Linked DNA regions of Oryzias latipes. The protein of the gene in region 1 purifies or fractionates together with the protein of each later gene. This does not show direct contact. Links are inferred from orthologs where the notes say so. Each region holds a gene or a part of one and is shown on either strand. Other genes may lie near its edges.

What was found.
Region 2: the proteins of fbxl5 (region 1) and mms19 purify together in Homo sapiens (affinity purification with mass spectrometry; 4 studies listed by BioGRID and IntAct, counting the BioPlex papers as one, with this or other methods). This does not show direct contact. The link is inferred for Oryzias latipes from reciprocal best matches to the Homo sapiens genes FBXL5 and MMS19.
Region 3: the proteins of fbxl5 (region 1) and aco1 purify together in Homo sapiens (affinity purification with western blotting; 3 studies listed by BioGRID, with this or other methods). This does not show direct contact. The link is inferred for Oryzias latipes from reciprocal best matches to the Homo sapiens genes FBXL5 and ACO1.

The regions. Positions count from the first base shown.
Region 1 is NC_019862.2:28,342,319-28,348,799, reverse strand, and holds part of fbxl5 (F-box/LRR-repeat protein 5), read right to left. Parts: intron 5,536-6,481; coding exon 5,440-5,535; intron 5,345-5,439; coding exon 5,149-5,344; intron 4,604-5,148; coding exon 4,418-4,603; intron 4,298-4,417; coding exon 4,172-4,297; intron 3,962-4,171; coding exon 3,807-3,961; intron 3,716-3,806; coding exon 3,633-3,715; intron 2,914-3,632; coding exon 2,203-2,913; intron 1,933-2,202; coding exon 1,784-1,932; intron 260-1,783; coding exon 183-259; 3' UTR 1-182.
Region 2 is NC_019877.2:1,647,768-1,655,561, reverse strand, and holds the start of mms19 (MMS19 nucleotide excision repair protein homolog), read left to right. Parts: upstream 1-3,315; 5' UTR 3,316-3,423; intron 3,424-4,130; 5' UTR 4,131-4,154; coding exon 4,155-4,242; intron 4,243-5,468; coding exon 5,469-5,517; intron 5,518-5,610; coding exon 5,611-5,711; intron 5,712-5,781; coding exon 5,782-5,867; intron 5,868-5,943; coding exon 5,944-6,018; intron 6,019-6,134; coding exon 6,135-6,204; intron 6,205-6,548; coding exon 6,549-6,677; intron 6,678-6,756; coding exon 6,757-6,818; intron 6,819-7,651; coding exon 7,652-7,738; intron 7,739-7,794. Other genes in the region: ubtd1 (ubiquitin domain-containing protein 1), read right to left, coding at 2,826-2,895. UniProt on the Homo sapiens protein: Key component of the cytosolic iron-sulfur protein assembly (CIA) complex, a multiprotein complex that mediates the incorporation of iron-sulfur cluster into apoproteins specifically involved in DNA metabolism and genomic integrity.
Region 3 is NC_019876.2:30,065,274-30,072,402, reverse strand, and holds the end of aco1 (cytoplasmic aconitate hydratase), read left to right. Parts: intron 1-1,326; coding exon 1,327-1,469; intron 1,470-1,580; coding exon 1,581-1,728; intron 1,729-2,880; coding exon 2,881-3,003; intron 3,004-3,081; coding exon 3,082-3,267; intron 3,268-3,335; coding exon 3,336-3,452; 3' UTR 3,453-4,597; downstream 4,598-7,129. UniProt on the Homo sapiens protein: Bifunctional iron sensor that switches between 2 activities depending on iron availability. Iron deprivation, promotes its mRNA binding activity through which it regulates the expression of genes involved in iron uptake, sequestration and utilization.

The DNA.
Region 1 (6,481 bases):
TCTTTTGGGGATTATTTCCACTTAGCATGTAGACAAACAGAAGGAGCAACATTACAGTTTCATCAAGAAACATTTTGAAGTGACACAAAATACAGCAAATGGTATTCCCAGGATAAAGTGCAAGAGTAAGGAGAAGTGACTTTCTCTGCTTCTTCGTTCTTTTGGAGACCAGCTGGCACGGGTCACTCTCCGGAGCGACAGCAGGCTCTGAAACCACACTGCAGGTTCTGGCAGCCGCTGGCGGTGTCGGCGTGAGGACCTGGAGAGAAAACACGTTGGCGTTGGTCATCTTCACCAGGGAAAAAAAGGAAAATAAAAAACTCGCCTATCACACCAACTATGTTTTTGAAACGGGAAAAACCAGAGTGGCTCCTGGGAGAAATCCTTACCTCATCACAGCAGCAGTGGTTATGTACTCTACAACACAATCTGAGCGTGTGGGGTTAGTTGAAGCTGAACTGCCACCGTCACAGGCCTACTGCCTGCAGCGGAGGAAATAACTATTTGATCCCATGGTGATATTGTAGGTTTGTTCACTTAAAAAGAAGTCTTTTCTCTTATTGGTAGGTTCATTTGAACATTGAGAGATAGAAAATCAATGAATTAACTTTAGACATTTTACTTTTATTTGGGTTTCATCGAGGTAAACAAGTATTTGATCCCTCTAGCCTGGAAAACGTAGTCCTTTTGTGGCAAAACCCTGATTAGTAGCACAGAGGTCAGATGTTTCTTGGAGTTTCTGCACATAGGAGGAATTTTGGTCCACTTTTCTTTGCAAATGACTTCTAAATTATTCAAGTTTGTCTTCTGAGCTTCAGCTCTCTTTCTGGAGACTGGCTGAAGCCACTCCATGACCATTATATGCTTCTTTAGCCGTTCCTTGTATGTTTTGGGTCATGACCCTGTTGGAGAACCCATCCACGAACCATTTAAGCCTCCTGGTGGAGAGAAGCTGGTTGTCACTCAGGATTTGACAGAATATGGCTCCGTCAATCCAGAAACACCCCCAAAGCATTATGTTTCCACCTCCATGCTGAACAACTTTTTTCCCTCCAGACTCATCGGGTTAAGTTGATGCCAAACAGCTGATCACAGCACCTTGTCCCAATCCCTCTCTACTCTAAAACCATGAAGGTGTTCATTGGTAAACATGTGGTGGGTCTGCACATGTGCCTTCTTAAGCAGGGCTACTTTGCCAGCACTGGAAGATGTTAAACCATGGTGGTTTCATGTGGTTTCCATGGTGACTATGGTTCCAGCTGCTTTGAGATCATCAACTAATTCCTGCCGTGTTGTTTTAGGCCGTTCCTTACTGTTGTCATAACTGTGGAAACCCCCCCAGGTGAGACTGTGTCTGGAGCCTCAAACCTACAGGTGGATTGATGGTCATGTTCTTGTGTTTTGGCACAATTACACAAACGGATGTCACCTTAACCTCCAGCTTCATGCCAATGGTTTTGTAGTCCATTCTGGTCTGCTTAAAATCAACTGAAAGCTCTTTAATCTTTCCCATGTTGGAGAGTTTGGAGTCTGACTGATTCTATGGACAGGTGTCTTTTCTACAGGTGATTATTTCAAACAGGTGCCTTCAATTCAGGTGACAGGTTGATCAGGATAGTCTAACTGGTCTGTGTGAACCAGAACTCTTAATGGTTACTAGGGGATCAAATACCCATTTCCTTTACTGAATCTATAAGCAGCTTCATCAAGAACTAAACATCAACAACAAGCATGACTTTGTGTCAGGGTGAAGATGAGCTGCTAGCAGCTTCGCTTGTGTTACCGTTAATGTTGTCGCAGTAATAGAAGTGCTCATCATTGAGGGATGGGCAGGCTGAGACCAGCTCCTGCAGCCCCACCTCAGTGATGGAGAGACAACCAGACAAGTTGAGATGCTCCATGACGGGAAGCCCTCCATGCTGGGACAAAGTCCTGAAACACAGATGGAGGGGGAGGTGAGTGGTGCTACTCCAGACTTAGCCTTATCAGGACGCTGTTTCCCATAGCAACTGCTATGGAGAGTATAACGGCTCTCATTGGTCAATGAGGCCATTGATTTCTGATAACTGATCCCTCATTGGGGATTAAATCTTTGCATAATAATGCTGGTTTCTCCACCTTAGTTAACACCTCAGGTGTTGAAATAGAAGCGTTTTTTACTGTGTTAGTGAGTCTTTGTGTAAAGAAATAGAGGATAACTACCTCAAGCCCAGGTCGGTGATTTGGTAACATCCAGAGAGACTGAGAAATTTCAGCGCCCGTTTAGCGGGTGAGCAGTCAGTCCTGTTTTCAGGCTGCAGACACTGCAGTCCTCCCAGTGGAGGGCATTTAGTCCGAGATCCTGCAGTGGCGTTCCTGCCGCAGCCCGACACGCTTTCGCGCACTGTAAACGTCCTGAGGGCGATGTCACCTGAGCAGCAGGTGGAGTGACCGCAGAATATTTCCCCCGACATGGCGTACTGCTGATGCAAATATGAGGCGTCCGACCCCATCCGGTGGCCTTGCCTTCTGCTCGTCCTGCAACAGCAAGAGCCGCCCATCAGCTGCGTCTCTACGAAGCTTTCAGGGAGGGGCATCCCGCCCCGCCGGCTCCACGCTGCAGCGTCCTCAATATCGGCCAGGTCGGAGGTCTCCACAACCCACACCGGCGTTGGGATGCAGGGCCCCCCCCAGCGCCGAGTCCCGTACTTGAAAACGATGGCCTGCTTCTTTCGCTCCAACGCGTGCAGGTTTCGCTCATCGATGTGCGCGGTGAAACTTTTCAACTGTGAGGTTTTGTCAGAGCAGGAGGAGGAGGAGGAGGGGAGTTCCCCTAACCCGGTAGACAGCTTCTTCAGGGTGAGATCGGTGATCTTCTCGCATCCCGACAAATCCAGGTGCTCCAGAGAACGACAAGCTCCCAGGAATGACCAGCTGGAGAAAAATGAGAACAAAGCTCAGTGTTCTGAGTTCCACGCAGACACAGATCCACATACATGTACGGTATATTTCTAATATCTATCTAATGACATAGTATTGTGAACTATTAGTACATATCGTTGAAAATTCAAAAACTACATCTTCATGAAGAGATAGCTTTGTTGTGTGTAATATTATTTGTGTAGTAATACATAATAATACGGGAACCACGGAGCCGGCAGCAGCTGCAGGGGCAGGACAGCCTAGTCAGACGGTCTCGCTCGCCATCGAAGAGGCACGCGGGGCGACCCGGGCCTCAACTAACACTCCTGTGGGCGAGAGTGGTCCTCTGCCGGGGACTTGACGCGCCGTGGGGCAGAAACAATGTTCTCAGTGTATTTAAACACACGTGTGGAGTGATGCATGTATCAGAGGGTGTTCTATTGGCCTTTCTGCATGTCAATCAAGTCATATACTTCTTGGAGAGGATTTTGATTCGCTAATTTAATTATATACATTTAAATTTGGGGGATTTTTTTATCTATGATGGCGCGTGATCTACCCACATGTCCTTTATCGCAATCGATGTAATGATGACCCCTGAAGAAGTGGTCCGACTGACTGTGATGTCATCCGTAGAAAATGATTTATTTCCAGCTCCAACCAAATGAAGTCAATTCTGTCGCCATTCAATCCACAGAACCAGATTCTAATTTAAAGGAAGTATTTTGTACCTGTCAAACACAGAGTCTGTCACATCAGTTTGAGTCAGATCCAGATGAGTGATGTTGGGGCAGAGGCTGACCATCTGACGGACCTGGAAAAGACATTTAAGCTTTCAGGCTCAGCTTAACATCCATCAAATCTCATGGCAGCAATGCAACTCTGACTGGACAAGCGCCGCATACCATTTTGCTTGAGACTGTTGAACTGTAGGCCAGAATAATGGATTTGACTGACGGACCCACAGCAGGGAGGAGGTTCTGGATGATCCCATTCAGGAGCTTCTTCTCTCTCTGCACCATATTGATAGCAAGCGAGCCCTCTGTGTGACCCGAAACATCTGACGAGAAGAACACTATCTAGTCACTACCTCATGAACACAATAAACTACCACACACTGCAGGTCCATCCACCTTCAACATTGGAACTTTTTTTTCCCCACTCAAACCCGGGGAAAAAACAATAGTCATGATGAAACTATTCACAGCACACACACATGACCCTGGTAACGTTCAGCTCATGCATGTTTGAAGTGATTATTGGCCCTCACCTGACTCGTCAATATCAGCGTCCTCGTCCCACTTCTGATAAGCTCGACCCTCATTCTCTCGACTCCTCACCCACTCTTCATCTGGCTCCTGATCCAGATCCCCAGGAGGGCCATTATAATGATCGCCTGTGTTTTAAAAAAAACTTTAGAAACAAGGATGCCTAAGCATCTACAAGATCATCTTTACCAGGAAAAACAACTACTTGGTTCAAAAAGAAAAGATGAAAACCATGAATTGAGGTTTACCTCGGGCCCAGCGAACAGGGTAAAGGTGCCTCCACAAAGAGCCGGTCTTGGCCAGCTGCCACCACAAACTGCACACCTGACTGCAGCGACACAGATCCTTAGGGCCCAAATAATGGAACAACCTCAGCATTATTTCTGCAGGAAGGTGTGAGATGTTGGTTGACATATTCTGCTTCTTCTCCAGGTCTGAGGATGGAGGGGGGAAAAAAAGAAGAGCATGTGAATGTTTTAAATACCACAATGATAAAATTATCTCAAAATAATCCATGTTCTGTACAAATATTGTTGGTATTTTACAGCAAAAAAAAAAAGGCTTCAAGTATCCTGCTAATTGTGTTTCCTATCACAGACGAACACAACTCCATCCATTCATTCATTTTCTATGTCTGCTTAATCCTGTCATAGGTCACAGGGATGCTGGAGCCTGTCCAGCTATGGTTGGGCTCCACTCTGGACAGTTTATCAGTTCATTAGAGGGCTGAACACAACTAACCCCAAATAAAGCCTTAACTAGTCTCATATTTTGGTAACGGGTCATAATATCTATCTGTTGCTGTTCATTTAAAAAAAAAACTGTTTCTCTGCTGGATTACATAAAAAGCCTTTTTAAAACATGACTGAAGATAAGACAAAAAAAGAAGTGTGTGGCCTTCAACAGACGCTTGACTCATCTTTGTCATGCACTTAACTGGAAACCTGTAACAAGTTTAGTCATTTGGACAAACACTCACCGTAGTCTGTCTTCTCATGATCCGAATATTTAAAGGCTTTCTGCAGCTCCTCAGCCTGCGACCACAGACGGAATCCCTTCAGCACACCGGCAGCACAGTCCCCGTGCTGTTGGCTGTGGTGCTGGGCTATCACCTTTTTCTTGATGTCTTTCAGCTCCTCGTAGGTGAAGTACTCCATGAGCATCGGCTGAAACACCTGCAACACATTTCCGTTAAAACACAGCTTGACGCTGAAAAGGATGAACAGGTGACATTTTTGATTATTGCTTATCCCGCATGATTATCTTGTACCTCCTCCTCTTCCTTCATGTGGGGCAGGAAGTCCTGCGTGAACGCCTCAAGTCTCTCCTTCAGCTGACGAGCATAGTTAAGCTGCTCACATTCATTCTAAAACCACAGAACAGACAGAAATCCCAGATCTTAGATCAGCTGCTCTTGGACAGTCATAAGCAGACGTTTACCACGCTTTAGGTATTTTGCATGATTCTAAAAGTTGCGCAAGGAAAATTTAACTTCTTTGTTTTCCTCGTCTGAGCTGGCTTCCGGCTCACGACTGTACAGCCGGTCAGCTCCAATATTGTAAAGAAAAAACCTGCATAACTATAGTTAAAAGACCACCGGGAACACTTTCAAAATAGACCAAGGATAATCGGGCTGGGTCTCTAATAGAATTTGAACTGTTAGTTTATAACCATCCTAGAGCCCTCAGGTGCAGGTCTGCTGGTGATCCCCAGGGTCAGAACAAAAAGCCATGGCAAGCCCACATTTTCAGCACTGTGGGCCTCACCAGTGAAGCAGCCTGCCTACTGATGCAAGGGCTGCATCCTCTGTGGAGGTTTTTAAGATAAACCTTAAGTAATCTTTTCAGCTTAGCTTTTAAGTTTTACAAGTAAGTTTTACATTTCCACATGTTTTAATACAGATTCATGGACTGTATCTCTGCTGGTTTCTGTATCCTGCGAATGTGTGTTGGGGGCTTTTATTATTATTATCGCACTATTTTTACAATTATTTTTATTGTTTTATTTTTTCTTTGAGGTGTACTGCAACAAGAAAAGTTTAATTGGAATTTATTCTCCCCAATGGTTTGCCACAGGAGCTAGACTTTTAGATGATCAGAGATTGTGAATACGAGTCAAATCTTCCCACACTCAATGTTTTGTGCTTTTTTTTTAAACAGATATTTCAACAATTTACAAATAAGTCTCTGCTGCAAATTAATATCTGTAGAAACTTTCAGACAGGAAGCAGGATCTCACTCCAAACTAAATAAAGAGATATTAGAGAGTTTGGCAGAGCGGATGTTCCAATTTACACAAATTCACGAATCCAA
Region 2 (7,794 bases), on another chromosome or scaffold:
AGAAGTTTGTTGCAGATTCACCGTTCTTTAATGTTTTATCTGATCAGAAAAACCTGTTCCTGCTTCTTTGTGTGATCTGTCCGAGGTCCTGAACGGAAACCAAAACCTGAACAGGATCCGCAAAGTCATCAAGGAGCTCATGAATCTCATTAGGGGAAGAAAATGTTCTAAAACGCTAGTGATTTTCATTTTTATTCCTAAAATCAGTCAAATTGTTTAGTAAAAAGATGTAATTCCGTAAATAGATTAAGAGAAGGATTAAGTTAAAAAATAAATCTTAACGTTCTGGATTTTATTCATTTATTCCATTATTTCCTCTCTGAATCAATTCTGTTTCATATACAGAACTGTTTTCACATATTTAGTGGTTTAAATTAAACAAAAGTGAAACTTTTACCGTTAAAACCTCAAACTTGGGACAACATAAACTTCCAGAAAATGTATCCATGTTTTTATGCATCCACAGGACATTTTTAATTCTGCTCTGATCATCTTTTGATGCATTTTCAAAGTGTTCCCAGTGGTTGTTTAGCCATGATTATGACATTGTTAGTCTGTCGTTTTCTAGGACATAGTTTCTGCAGAGAGGAAGGCGTTCTTTCGACATCCACCTCTGAGTTGTTGGCAGGACGGTGGGTGCAGAGCTAAGCCGCAGCTGATATCCCATCATCCCTTTGTTTACTTGCTCTCCCGTTAGCTCACAGCCCCTCACAACCACAAGCTAACATTAGCGGTGCAACAAAAATGGCGAGCAATCCAGTTTAGATCCAGATTCCAGCTCAGACGAGGAAAACAGAGACGTTCATGGATGTGTTTGTCTGCAGGTGGATGATCAGAATGGAGCAGAGCAGGGTGCTTGTAGCCCCCCCCCAGTATTTTCTACGACACCAAAATGATCTTTTTCAAACTGCATCTTTTCAGTCTTTAAAGAGATTTCTGAAACGTTTGATGGGAATAGTTGTGGTAAAGCAGAAATAAGAGGAAACGCCTGGTTGGTAAGAAATAGAGCACATAAAACGACACATTTCAGACCGGAGGAACAACTTCAGTCTGTTTCTCTCAGCAGCAGCAAAACCATTTCTCCCTTTTTGAGTTTGGATGAGACGCCTGCATTCCTCAGCAGCGTCCTCTTCAACGCTTTTGCAGCTCTGAGGGTTGATGGTCGTTGATGGTCGTCCATCATCGCCTGCGAGCCTTCAGCTGTCAAACTCAGGCGCTTGTGGAAGCTCATCAGCAGCAAAAACCTTCACATTAGCAGCTGAACGAGGCTGACCTGACCAAAGTCGTGACCACAAACAAGGATTCACTCACACATTTCATCGCCCAATTTCTGCTCCGTCACACAAGCGTCTGCAGGTTGGAGAGTCAGCGATTGCCGCAGGGCATGATGGGACTTGTTCTCTGTTAATGAGGGAGTGTCTGACGGCAAGCGAAGCAGGAAATGAGTCACAGTAAAATACGAGAGGAATGTTTGCTCCGACAGCCTCAATAAATTCTAGACACTAACGTGCAAAAACACACTCAGCCCCAGTGGTTTGATGCTCTAAGCAATGTGAACGGTGGCTGCCTGGAAAAACTTGGTTTTATCCTGTAAAACTGGAGTAAACGCCAACGCAACACATATATGGACACACGCCAAGGTGACCTTATATGACCACAGCTATCACTGTCAAAAACACAGAAAGGTTCAAAGCAAAACCCTCAGAGAGACTGCTGTAAACATGTTTCAAAATAAGAGCATACAAATAAAAAAGCAAAAATAGAAATCATTTCAAAATAAAACCAAGGTAGAATTAGAGTGCAAGCACATTCATGTAAACATCTTCGCTTAAAGAAGCACTGCCATGAAAATGGAGTTTTAAACGTGTTCTTGTAGCATCTTTTGATGATGGGAGGACAAATGGAAAGAAAATGAAGCTCAAAATTCCGTTTCTGAGTGTCTTCTTTATTCAAATCAATGCAAATCGGGAGCAGACGGAAAAAAACGTGGTTTGGAAAACATCGTATTTGTGATGAAGAAACAAGCTTCCTGCTCCGCCCCATTCTTAAGCATCCACCTGCATGAACGACGAACGTTTTATTTTAAAGAACTCCTGCCACGCCGCAGGAGCTCCGATCAAAGGTTCAAATGGAGAACATTTCCTTCAAAGCAAGCTGTTTGACTCCCTTTTGTTTTTTTGCATTTGGCCTCACAGGTCGACCGTCCTCTACACTCTCGTGTGCTTCAACTTCAGCCGGACCTTTCGCCAGGTTAAGAGATGCACAAACATGGAATAAACAATAGGTTTTGAACTTTCTATACACGCATTCTACAAATAAATGTGCGTTGAGTGTGTATGTATGCACTGCAGAAGATTCCCAAACTTTTGGGCGGATTACAGACAATACTTGTGCAAACAAAGGAGAGCAGCTATTCCACCACTTCTTATGCAGGTCAAGGTCAAACGCAGAGGAGGCCACGTTCCTGTTTGCACCCTAAAACCAGCGTTCAGAGGCGCTGCTGCATCACGTGATCACGTGATCCATTCAGTCACAGGTTCCTCAGGTACCAGCTCACCTGCACGCATTCAAATGTGTGTCCTTTCCGGGTTCAAGTCCAACCAAATCAGCTAAAGCTCGTTTGCATAGTAGTTAGGGTCAAACAACAGTGTCAGGTGTCAAATAGTTGAAGATAAATGTCAAATAAGAACATAAATAATACCCCCCCCCCCCCCCCCCCCCCAGGTTTAATTAACCTACATTTAGCTCGTTTTCTTGTCTTTTTCTATGACTCTGCTGCATTTGCTACTCTAAAGTGTCATATAAACAGCAAACTCCGAACCCACCGTTCCCGGACGAACCTCGGCTCTGTGACTCGTCCCAGCCTCGCCAGTACCTCCCCACGCATCCTCCCATGGCCGGAGGGGCTGTGGTCGCTCCCCGCGGGGCTTCACTGGCTTCCAACGGGGCCCATGGCGACGAAGAACCGAGTCCGGCGAAGATCAGAACCCGCAGGTGCAGCGCTGCTAGCCGGATATGTCATCCGGTGACAACAAGGCGGTGAAATCCGGTGGGAACCGTTAACAACTTTTTTTCTGTTGTCTGAATAACCGGTAAAGTTCGGTTTAGTTGCAACTGTAAACAGAAAAGCTTTCTTGCTAACAGGCTAACTGGGCTAACCAGCTAGCTCCGCCAGAAAACACAAACTTCCGCGTGCTCGATGTCATTTCCCCGAGTTTTATCTTCCCTATAAAAGGGTCTGGAGGTAGAGCTTCACTCGGAGCTGAATGCAGAACCGTATCACGCCCTTCACGCGCTCCCGGACTACTTTTCTTCAAAAGACTTGGAAAAACTCCTCACTTTCTGTTGCTGCTGGTTGAGAAAGTGTTCAGAAACGAGCTAAGGCAGGCGAACTTTTCTGCACATGCGCAGACAACCAGGCAGGTGGGTCTGAAGGAAACGTAAATAAATGATAGCAGTGACGTCACAATAATGGTTCAAACCGTCTTTGATATTAGGAGAGAAAAAACAATACACAATGACAATAAGTACATTTTAAAAGGGCACAAAGTAAAAATACTATCAATAAAGTACAGATTCTTATGAATATTTCACTTTTTTGTAGGTATTTTTCAAACTTATCCAAACAAATTAGGATTTTTCCATATAGTTTAAAAAAATACTGAACAAAAACGTGTGAATTCCAGTTTATTATAACGTCACATGAAAACTTAGATAGAATGAATGCAGTCATACGATGAACAAAAAAATATTTTACGTAGTTTAATATCTTCTGGGATTTTAATCCAGATCATGTTATCAAACGGTTTCAGCTTTTAGTCCAGCTTGAAACATATTTCACTGCTTAATTAATGCACTTATAAAAGTATGACATCTCCAATAACACCTTTATGACCAAACAAAAATGATCAAGCTTAATAAATTGTTACATTTATACTTGTTTATGTTTTTTGAGATACTTTGAATGTAATGGTGTCTTGGACATAAATGTGTCGTTCTTTTGTGTAAAATCTCTATATTTATTTTATTTAAAAGCACAAACAATATTTTTTAAAAATATATTTATATTTTTTCTTAACCAAGAAAAAAAAAGTTGGACTTTGGCGTTTGAACTTTCTGCACATGCGCAGTGTCAGCAGCGTGGAGGAAGCGCGATGGCTGCGGACGGTGCCTTGCTGCTGTCTCTGGTGGAGGAATTCGTCTCCGGATTGCAGGACAGCAAAGCAAAGGACGCCGCTAAAGGTACAGCAGTCGTGTCCGGTGTTTGTCCTCACATTTACCAGCGGGTTTGTGTGGAAAACTGAGCTGGAGCCGTTAGTTTCCCATAAAGGTGCGTGGGGGTTAACTAGCTAAACTTAGCGTCACAACATCCTGTGCGGGATGCTGCGTGAGAAGCTCCTCCTGACACTAAACATGTCATGAATCTGCCCTTTTTCCGGGGCGGCAGGAACTCGCAGCTATCTTTGTTTACTGAAACCATGACTGTACCTGCAGTCTGCTGTGGTCTCGTGCCTGCTGCTAGCTAGCTGCTGGCTGGGCGCGAGGAGGATCCTGTCATTGAACCCTCAACCCCCGATTTACCTTTGATCCCGAGTTTGTCTGTGTGGGCAAAGCAGGGAAACACGTCCAGACTACCGAACCGATTCGGTTCCGATTCAGCACAGACCTGATAACTTATGACGTATCAAATTAAAGGAGTTTTAATTATACCCAAAGTAAACAGAGGGGGATCTTTCAAAATAAAACGATCACTTATGTCAATCAAATTTACTGAAGTTTGTTTTTCCCCTGATACTATATTTATTTAAAGGCTGTTATGACGGAATACTGAGGCCACCATGAAAGAAAAGCAAATATTTGACAATGAAGTTGTAACATTATAAGAGAAAAGTTCAAATTTTTACAGGAATTCAGTCGTGAAATTATGAGGAAAAAAGTCCAAACTTTATTATGAGAATTGAACTGTAAAATAATCTGAGAGAAGTCTAAATTTGACGCAAATAGTCCTAAAATTTTCCAAAAGAAATGCATATTAAATCAGTTTTTAGTTTTTTCCTTTTAAAATTCAGACTTTTATTTATTTACTTATTTGAAAAAGTATGACTATTTCCTTGCAATATTGCAACTTTTGAAGTAAAACATTTACAGCTTTATGTTAGAAAATTGTCGTTTTCCCTTTTTTTAAAGTTTTTTCTTGTACATTTTTTTTCCTTGTAAAATTTTGTCTTTATTTTTCTCAGAATTGTACAACTTTATTCTATATATGTACTCATTGTTTCCGTTACCGTGGTCCTATTTGCACGTAAGGCGGCGGGCGCGTTCTTACTTCGACCTCCACTGCAGCGGCAAAGGAAAGCGATAAATACGCTGATGGTTCACATCAAGCAGCCAATCAGAATTGAGACCCGGACCGTGGTATAATATGGATTATTTAAGCTTTTGTTGACATATTATTGATTCTTGCTCAGGTGTCAAAGATGGAGCGTTTACAGTTTTGCAGTTAGTGGAAGCGTTGGGGTGAGCCTTTGTCTTTTTCTCCTTTACTTTTTTACAAAAACACAAAAAAGTGACGCCGTTCTTGTTTTCAATCGACTTCCCGTCCACCCGCAGGCCCAGCCTGACCAGCTCGCAGCCGCAGACTCGCGCCCGCGGCGTCCAGCTGCTCTCCGAGGTCCTACAGGACGGCCGTGCAGAGCTGTCGCAGAAAGAAGGTCAGAACACCAAGCCTTTTCGTCTGCTCAAAGTGAGGAGCGTTGTTGACATCCTGTTGTCCCATCGCAGTGGAAGTGCTCATGGCTTTCTACCAGAACCGCCTCAAAGACCATCACGTCACCACTCCGCCCGTCCTACGGGGGCTGCTCGCCTTGGTAAACTTGGGGGACCCGGTTTCAGACGGAGGCGCTGCTGGAGCCTCCTTGTAAGTTTGTGTTGGTTTCTCCTCAGACCAAGTGTGCGGCGCTGCCTCCCGGCTCGGCCGTGTCCATGCTGAGGTCGCTGTTCCAGGACGTCCACGTCCAGGTGAGGTTCTCCATGAAGAAACCAGGATCTCCTCCACTTCCTGTTTTCCGGTAAAGGTCTGCTCCGTGCCGTTTGTCTCGAGGTCTATCTTGACGTTGTTGTTTTTTGTCTCTCAGTCGCTGATGCTTGCAGAGCGAGCGTGTGTCTACAACATGCTCACCAACCTGATGGAGACCAGGGAAGCCGGTAAGAGTCTTCCTCAAAGTGAAGGGGTTCTGTGCTGCCCGTCCCAGGAGATGCAGAGCCATCAGAAGCTTTATAAAGAGAGAGGCGCTTCTAGAGTAGAGGATCTAACCTGATCTAGAGGATCTAGCTGACATTTGTGAGACCGTGCTCTAGTGGTCACTTGGTGAACTGCGGGTCGCTCCAAACCAGTTTAGGCTTGTTTGATAAACTGAATTAATGATTTGATTATTTAAATTCTTTCTAATTTCTCCAATTGTCAATAACGTTTGTTTATAGTATCCATACAAATATCTGACACTCTATGCGTTTGGCGGTCTCTCACGTCCTCTCAATCCTCCATTCAGAGCTGAAGAGTTTGGGAGCCGACTTTGTCTTTGGTTTCGTCCAATCAATGGACGGCGAGAGAGACCCTCGCAACTTGCTGCTGGCCTTCAGGATCGCCAGAAACCTCATCGTCCAAGGATACGATCTGGGTGAGAAGACCTTCCTCCCCCCCCGTCTGTTGGTGATGTCACGGTTTCCTTCTCTCAACCTTCCTGTCTGCTGTCTCAGGTAAATTCGCAGAGGAGCTCTTTGAAGTGACTTCCTGCTATTTCCCCATCGACTTCACCCCGGTAAGTTCCTGTTGACGACGTCTGCAGACCGCCAGAGAAAACTGTTGCTCCTCCCCCCAAAAAACAAGTGTGATCTGGGCATTCGTGCTCCTCATTGGGGTCTCCATCCTCTCCTCTCTGGAGAAAAATCAGCTAAAGTAAAATATGTCGCTCTATTATCTTCAGGATCTGCTACATGTCCCTCTCTCTCCCTGTCTGTCCCTGCCACCCGAGAGCTGCACAAATTCATTAAAAAAACACGCTTTTGTCATAACGGTGCCTTTTATGTACGTTTGTCTCCATAGCAACCATTTCAATTTTTGGTCGTTTGAGGCCGACGGACAGATCAATGTCATTTTTAGAGGAATACATTTTTGGATTTCCTTAGCAACTGAGGTTTTTTGTCAACCCCGCCCACATTCCTAATATGTTCATATCTACAATGTCCTGGTAAAAAATGTGCGAGCAAAAGTTTAAGTCGCACTGCCCCCATCTGAAAATCGCCCAATTTTACACTTTGCCACCTTTTGCCATCCCATAATAATTTCAAAACTTACTTTAAATATCCCTGACATGTGTGTTTTGGTTTTGCCGGGTTTTTTTTGAGCCCCCGGAGATTGTGGGAGTGTCAGCAGCAGTGTCTGCAGCAGCGTCTGCAGGAGCGTCTGCAGCTGTGTCGGCAGCATCTGCAGCAGCGTCTGCAGCATCTGCAGCAGCGTCTGTGCAGATCTCTGACATGGTTCTCCAGGGTTCTGACATCTGAACTCTTTAGATCAGGACGCGATTCCAGGATAACTTTTCATCTAACCTGTCCTCCTATTCTTTTTCCAAAACCCCCTCCTGGTCCACTGCAGCCCCCCAACGACCCCCACGGCATCACCAAAGAGGAGCTGGTTCAGGCTCTGAGGGCCGTCCTCACCGGAACGCCAAAGTTTGCCGAGGTAACGACGGCGGGTCTGCTTCTTCTGACTCGATCCCCTGAGCAAACATTCTCCGG
Region 3 (7,129 bases), on another chromosome or scaffold:
ACTTCTCATGTTCTCCCAGAAAGATATTTTTGAAAATCTGCATCACATGTGGCGATGAGGAAGCTGAATAAAACAGCAGGAAGCCAGTGTGTGCTGATGGTGATGATGGTGATGATGGTGATGATGGTGCTGATGGTGACGATGGTGATGATGGTGCTGATGGTGATGATGGTGCTGATGGTGACGATGGTGACGATGGTGATGATGGTGATGATGGTGACGATGGTGATGATGGTGATGATGGTGCTGATGGTGATGGTGATGATGGTGATGATGGTGACGATGGTGATGATGGTGATGATGGTGCTGATGGTGATGGTGGTGATGGTGATGATGGTGCTGATGGTGCTGATGGTGCTGATGGTGATGGTGATGATGGTGACGATGGTGCAGATGGTGATGATGGTGCTGATGGTGATGATGGTGCAGATGGTGTAGATGGTCATGATGGTGACGATGGTGCTGATGGTGATGATGGTGACGATGGTGCTGATGGTGCTGATGGTGACGATGGTGATGATGGTGATGATGTTGATGATGGTGATGATGGTGACGATGGTGATGATGGTGATGATGGTGACGATGGTGATGATGGTGATGATGGTGCTGATGGTGATGATGGTGCAGATGGTGCAGATGGTGTAGATGGTCATGATGGTGACGATGGTGCTGATGGTGATGATGGTGACGATGGTGCTGATGGTGATGATGGTGATGATGGTGATGATGGTGCTGATGGTGACGATGGTGACGATGGTGCTGATGGTGCTGATGGTGACGATGGTGATGATGGTGATGATGGTGATGATGGTGATGATGGTGCTGATGGTGACGATGGTGACGATGGTGCTGATGGTGCTGATGGTGATGATGGTGCTGATGGTGACGATGGTGACGATGGTGACGATGGTGACGATGGTGCTGATGGTGACGATGGTGACGATGGTGCTGATGGTGATGATGGTGACGATGGTGATGATGGTGCTGATGGTGACGATGGTGCTGATGGTGCTGATGGTGACGATGGTGATGATGGTGATGATGTTGATGATGGTGATGATGGTGCTGATGGTGCTGATGGTGATGATGGTGCTGATGGTGATGATGGTGATGATGGTGATGATGGTGCTGATGGTGCTGATGGTGCTGATGGTGCTGATGGTGCTGATGGTGATGATGGTGATGATGGTGACGATGGTGACGATGTTGATGATGTTGATGATGGTGATGATGGTGATGATGGTGCTGATGGTGATGATGGTGATGATGGTGATGATGGTGATGATGGTGTTGCTACCACATTACAACCACAACTCCTCCCATCAGACCCTGAAGCTGCAGCCCCCCCGCTCCATAAAGGATGCGTACGTGCTGCTCAACCTGGGAGACTCGGTCACCACCGATCACATCTCTCCTGCCGGAAACATCGCCAGGAACAGTTCGGCAGCTCGTTACCTGGCAGACCGAGGGTAAATGTGCCGTCTCTTTCTGTGCACACACTTGTGTGAGTCCTGCGGCGCTAAAGAACAGAATTAGAATTCCTGCTATTCTTCTTCTTTTCTTCTCCTCTGTTTCTCCAGTTTGACTCCTCGAGACTACAACTCGTACGGCTCGCGGCGAGGAAACGACGCCGTCATGGCCAGAGGGACGTTCGCAAACATCCGCCTCTTCAACAAGTTCCTGGGCAAGCAGGCGCCGCAGACCGTCCACCTGCCGAGCGGAGAAACGGTCAGACTGCTGCCGCCGCTCTCTCTCTTTGTCCCGTCGCTCGCCGTCTCTTTGCTTTTTACCTTTCTGTGGAATCAGCCGTCTAAAAACATACGTGTTCGATGCTGGACTGGTCAGGCTTACGTTACTGGTGGCGGAGGGCCGTGTCGCACAGCCACTACGCACGTTTTCCACGTATGAATGTCGGTCTTCCGTGATCTGTGTGTGATCTACGTCATCCGTACGTGTTTTTTGTGTTCATCAATGTGCTCAGATGAATGTTGAGGGTTTCAGCTTTTTACAGGATGAAAACCACTGATGTGTAACTTTTAGATCATGTATACGGCGCACAGATCACGTTCAGATGACATCATTGATGCATGAATCACTGATGAATTACAGATAAACATCACAATAATCACACGCTTCATGTTCTACGTTGGTTTACGTGTTCTTAGCGTGTTTATTCCTACTTTACCATGGTCTGAGTGAATACTTGATTCTGATTGGCTGCTGGGTGTGCATTAAAAAGTGTTAACCGCACGCCCCAAAAACATGTTCCGGTCACATAGCTTAAATGTTCTGAATCACGGCGCCGGCTTCTTTCAAACAAACGTTAGCTTCATCATCTGGACAAAAACAAGCGGTTGAACACATCGTGATCATCAGCATAGATATCGTTTTCCTTTGCCGCTGCACTCGAGGTCGGCGCCGGCTGAGCCGGTAATGTGACAACGCGCCGCACCACCTACCAAATAGACCGCTTTTTGTGAAAAAAATGAATCCAAACTGAAAAAATAACTAGGATAAAGGACTAAAACTGGATTAAATATTTATTTCTTTTATTAGTGACCGTGGTATAAACGGGGTACTGGCCTTTAAAGTGTGCATTATCAGAAAGTAACGCACCGACGGTTAATTCTGCGAAGTGCATTAACTTCTGCATTAATTACTTCTTCTGTGGTTTTAACGTGGTTCATTCCTGATACATCTGTGAACATAAAGACCCCCGTATGTCACTTTTTCCAGGTATGACCAGTTCTCCAAATGTACGTGGTGTCTGTGGGACTCGACCTTTGTCCTCATGCTGATGTCAGCAGAGTGCTGTGTCTCTCATTCTAACTTTCTCTCTTCAGCCGCTCCGTGTAAAGTCCACTTCCTCTGTTTCTGCAGCTGGACGTGTTCGATGCTGCAGAGAGGTACCGGCAGTCCGGTGAGCCGCTGCTGGTTCTGGCGGGGAAAGAGTACGGCTCCGGGAGCTCCAGAGACTGGGCGGCCAAAGGCCCGTTCCTGCTGGTGAGAAGACGTTCTGTGGGAGATGTCGCTCAGACTCTACCGGCAGAGTTTCACGGGTTTTCTCTGACTCTCTGCCAGGGCATCAAGGCGGTTCTGGCTGAGAGCTATGAGAGGATCCACCGCAGCAACCTGGTGGGGATGGGAGTCATCCCCCTGGAGTATCTGCCAGGAGACTCAGCGGACAGCCTGGGCCTGACGGGCCGGGAGCGCTACAGCATCAGCATCCCAGAGCCGCTCACGCCCAGGATGCTGGCGGATGTGAAGGTGGGTTTGGCGGTCTCACGGGTGCTAATGTGAAGAGGCGGTCTCACCAGCTTCTCCTGCCCTCACAGCTGGACTCTGGGAAAACCTTCCAAGTGCGAATGAGGTTTGACACCGACGTGGAGCTGACCTACTTCCACCACGGAGGAATCCTCAACTACATGATCCGCAAGATGTCAGCAAACTAAAGCCGGCTTTCTGACGGAAACAGCTGACAGAACCACGGCCCAGAAGATTGAATCATTTTCCATAACCGCTGCAAACATAGGAAACGGTCTCTGAGCGGCAACACAGATGACCGTCTGTCCAGATCAGAACTACAACTGAAGAAGGTTTAGTTGTATAACTGAATCCTTTTCATGAGGTTAAACAGGAAGTCCTCGTCTCACCTGCAGGTGGGAGGAATGTCCTTCCTGATGCAGGTAAACGCCGCGTCCCACAGCCTCTACGTACGTTTGGATGTAAACTGGTCAGACGTGAATCATAAGTGAGAAAGTTGTGGTCTTTAGGTGAAATGTTCACAGATGTATCAGGAATGAACCACGTTAAAACCACAGAAGAAGTAGGAATAAACACGCTAAGAACACGTAAACCAACGTAGAACATGAAGCGTGTGATTATTGTGATGTTTATCTGTAATTCATCAGTGATTCATGCATCAATGATGTCATCTGAACGTGATCTGTGCGCCGTATACGTGATCTAAAAGTTACACATCAGTGGTTCATGCATGAAAAGTCTGTTAGACAAACGTGGAACGCTCCTGGAAAGACACACATTTCTGGAGGAATCTCACAAAAATGACATAGATCACGCATGGATCACGGATGACCAACATTTCATACGTGGAACACGTGCGTAGTGGCTGTGAGACACGACCTTTAGGGTGACCTTGTCAGTCTGTTTCTCTGTCAACACTTCAGTTCCAGGACATTGCCTCATGGCTGACGGGGGACCAGCAGCAGGCGGACCACCTGAACTCTGGTGTCCATGGAGTTGAATGGACCTCTGAAAGTGCACTTCTCATTCCAGTGGGCTGTTCCACGCCCCCCAGTACCCCCCCAGTACCCCCCCAGTACCTCTGACTGTCATGTTGATGCCTGGACCAACTTATAAAGCTGTTTTTTGTCTTACTGCAGCCAGAAAACGTAACAAAAGCTGATCTGCTGTGGGGTCCAATTAGACTCGGTTTAGAATAAAGGAAAAACCAGATTATACCTTTGAAACATGTATTGTAAACTTACAAGAAATATTAATAACTTGAAAAAAAAATGTACATTTAAAACTTGAATAAAAATAAAACTGTGACCAAATAATAAAAAAATGAACATTTTTTTTTCTACTTGTTTCATCATTTCTCCCTCTTTGCTTTCAGCTTTCAAGTTTTCACCCCTGAACTCATCCTATTACTCCGTGGGGGCGGGGCTTTGAGCTCATTTACTTACTTACTTCCACTTTCGGCTTCTCCCATCAGGGGTCGCCACAGCGAACAAGTCGCATGGTAAATTTGGCAATGTTTTACGCCGGATGCCCTTCCTGACGCAACCTTCTCAAACCGGACTTGGAACCGGCAGAGGTAGAGAAGGGAACAGGGAGCAGCCCGGAGTCGAACCCTGGTTTCACGGACGGAAGGCGCTGCAAGCCAGCACGAGCTAAACTGTATAGCTCATTGTATAGCCCAAAATCACCTCAACAGTCGTCTCGATGGGCTTTGTGCAGATAAATGTAGTGTAAAACATCAAATCAAAGGATCATGAACACAATTCAATAAAGATCGTCGGTTGGCTTTGGGTACAGACGTGGATTGGTTGTAGTGCAGGCAGGATCTGGAGGTCCCTTGAAAATGTTCGTGTGGTTGCAGTGAGATCAGATCATGCCTTTAAGTGTGTGTGGTGCTGGAGTCATGTCAGGTCAAAGATGGGTTAAAATGCAGACAGGAAACACATTAAGTTAAATAATCTCTGAATACTAACTAGTCTGATAATAATCCAGTCCACAGAGGAATGTTTTCAGTCTAGCTTTGAATGTAGAAACTGAGTCGGCCTCTCTTATATGAGCTGGGAGTTTATTCCATAAGACAGGGGCTTGGTGGCTAAACGCTCTACCTCCAACCGTACTTTTACCAATTCTAGGAACCACAAGCAGTCCTGCATTTAGTGAGTGAAGTGTTCTGATTGGATGGTAAGGGACTATGAGGTCCTTAATATAGGACGGGGCCATTCCATGTAAGGCCTTATAGGTTAACAGGAGGATCTTGAACTTGATTCTGGAATCAACTGGGATCCAGTGAAGTGAAACTAACAGAGGAGTGATGTGATCTCTTCTGCTAGTTCCTGCTAACAATCTAGCTGCTGCATTCTGAACAAGCTGGAGACTTCTTAAGGAACTCTTAGGACACGCTGCTAACAAGGAGTTACAGTAATCCAGCCTCGACGGAACAAATGCATGGATGAGTTTTTCAGCATCACTCTTAGAAAGTAGATTTCTGATCTTAGCAATATTCCGCAGGTGGAAAAAACAGGTTTTTCATTTTCTACACTTTTTTTTCTCGTTTAAATTCTCAAAGTTCAAACCTTCATGGAAAAAGAGTTCAGTATTAGAACAAAAACAAGAATCTAATCACGATGAAGATTTGCGTTACGTTGGCTAGCTGCACGTGCAGAAGAGATTGATTGACAAGCTCAAAAAGCACAAAGTCGCGCTGAAAATAATCAACCAATGAGGGAGAGCGGGAAAAGTTCAATGACTACGTCAAAGTGGAGGGGCACAGGCCGCGACATAAAAGAACGCCGTTCTGAAGGAGAACACCATGAGCTCTTTGGGAAACATGGGAAATCATGAGCTCAAAGCCCCGCCCCCACATATAAATAAGAACAATGAGATCAAAGCCCCGCCCCCGCGTATAAATAGGATCTGCTCAGCAGCGAAAACTGAGAACGGAAAGTATGGAGCCCGTGTCCTGACATCAAAAAATTAAAATATATCTTGTTTCCACAGATTAATATCTCGTTCGGACGAAATACTATTCCATTCCCACAAGATACTTACCCAACATGCTTTTCGTGATGCATCTTGGGGTATTGGCCACAGTCATGTTTGCAATGCTAGGAGCTAAAAGCTAAGTCCGGTAGGCGAAGCAGCTAGCTAAATCTTATGATATTTTTCTGATTTTCATCGAGACAATAATAGATCGACCATTCTTGCTTTTATTTTTACCCCTTTTGAAAGCTCACAGAGACACGGAAGTAGCGGCAGAAAGCGGCTTTTGCAGCAAGATGACGGACAGCGTACCAGGATGATCCTGTGAGTGAACGTGAATACCGATGGATGCTTTTGTGCTTTTTAAAATAAATAAATCTGTTCACCATGGCAGTGCAGAAAGACAGCACATAGTGCACCGCAGCATAAACAGCCACGGTATTTTACACCTGACTGTTCTTTTCTTTCTTCTTAAATCTTTTTTTTCATAAATGGGGCAAATACTTATGTTATTATATTAGTTTAAGTTAATGGACACGTCCCCCTTATATATATATACACATTTTCTTTTCTTTTCATAGACCATATTAAAGTTCATTTTATGTTCAGGCAAGCTGATCCATCTTGATTATGTTTTTATATCTGGAAGTGCAGCCAGAGTACGGTATTTCTGTTGGACATAAGTCACAGGAGGAAGGTTTGGGGAGCTCCGCTTCTTCCTACTAACGTTAATGTGGGTGTTATTGAGAAAGTGGCAGAGAGTTATGTATCACGTGAGCCCTACAAAGGAGCTGGAGTTGCAGCAGTTGCAAGATTTTTGTTTCTCTTTCACGTTTTGAGATTTTTTTTCCTTTCTTTTTCTTTTCACCTCATCACCAGCAAACCT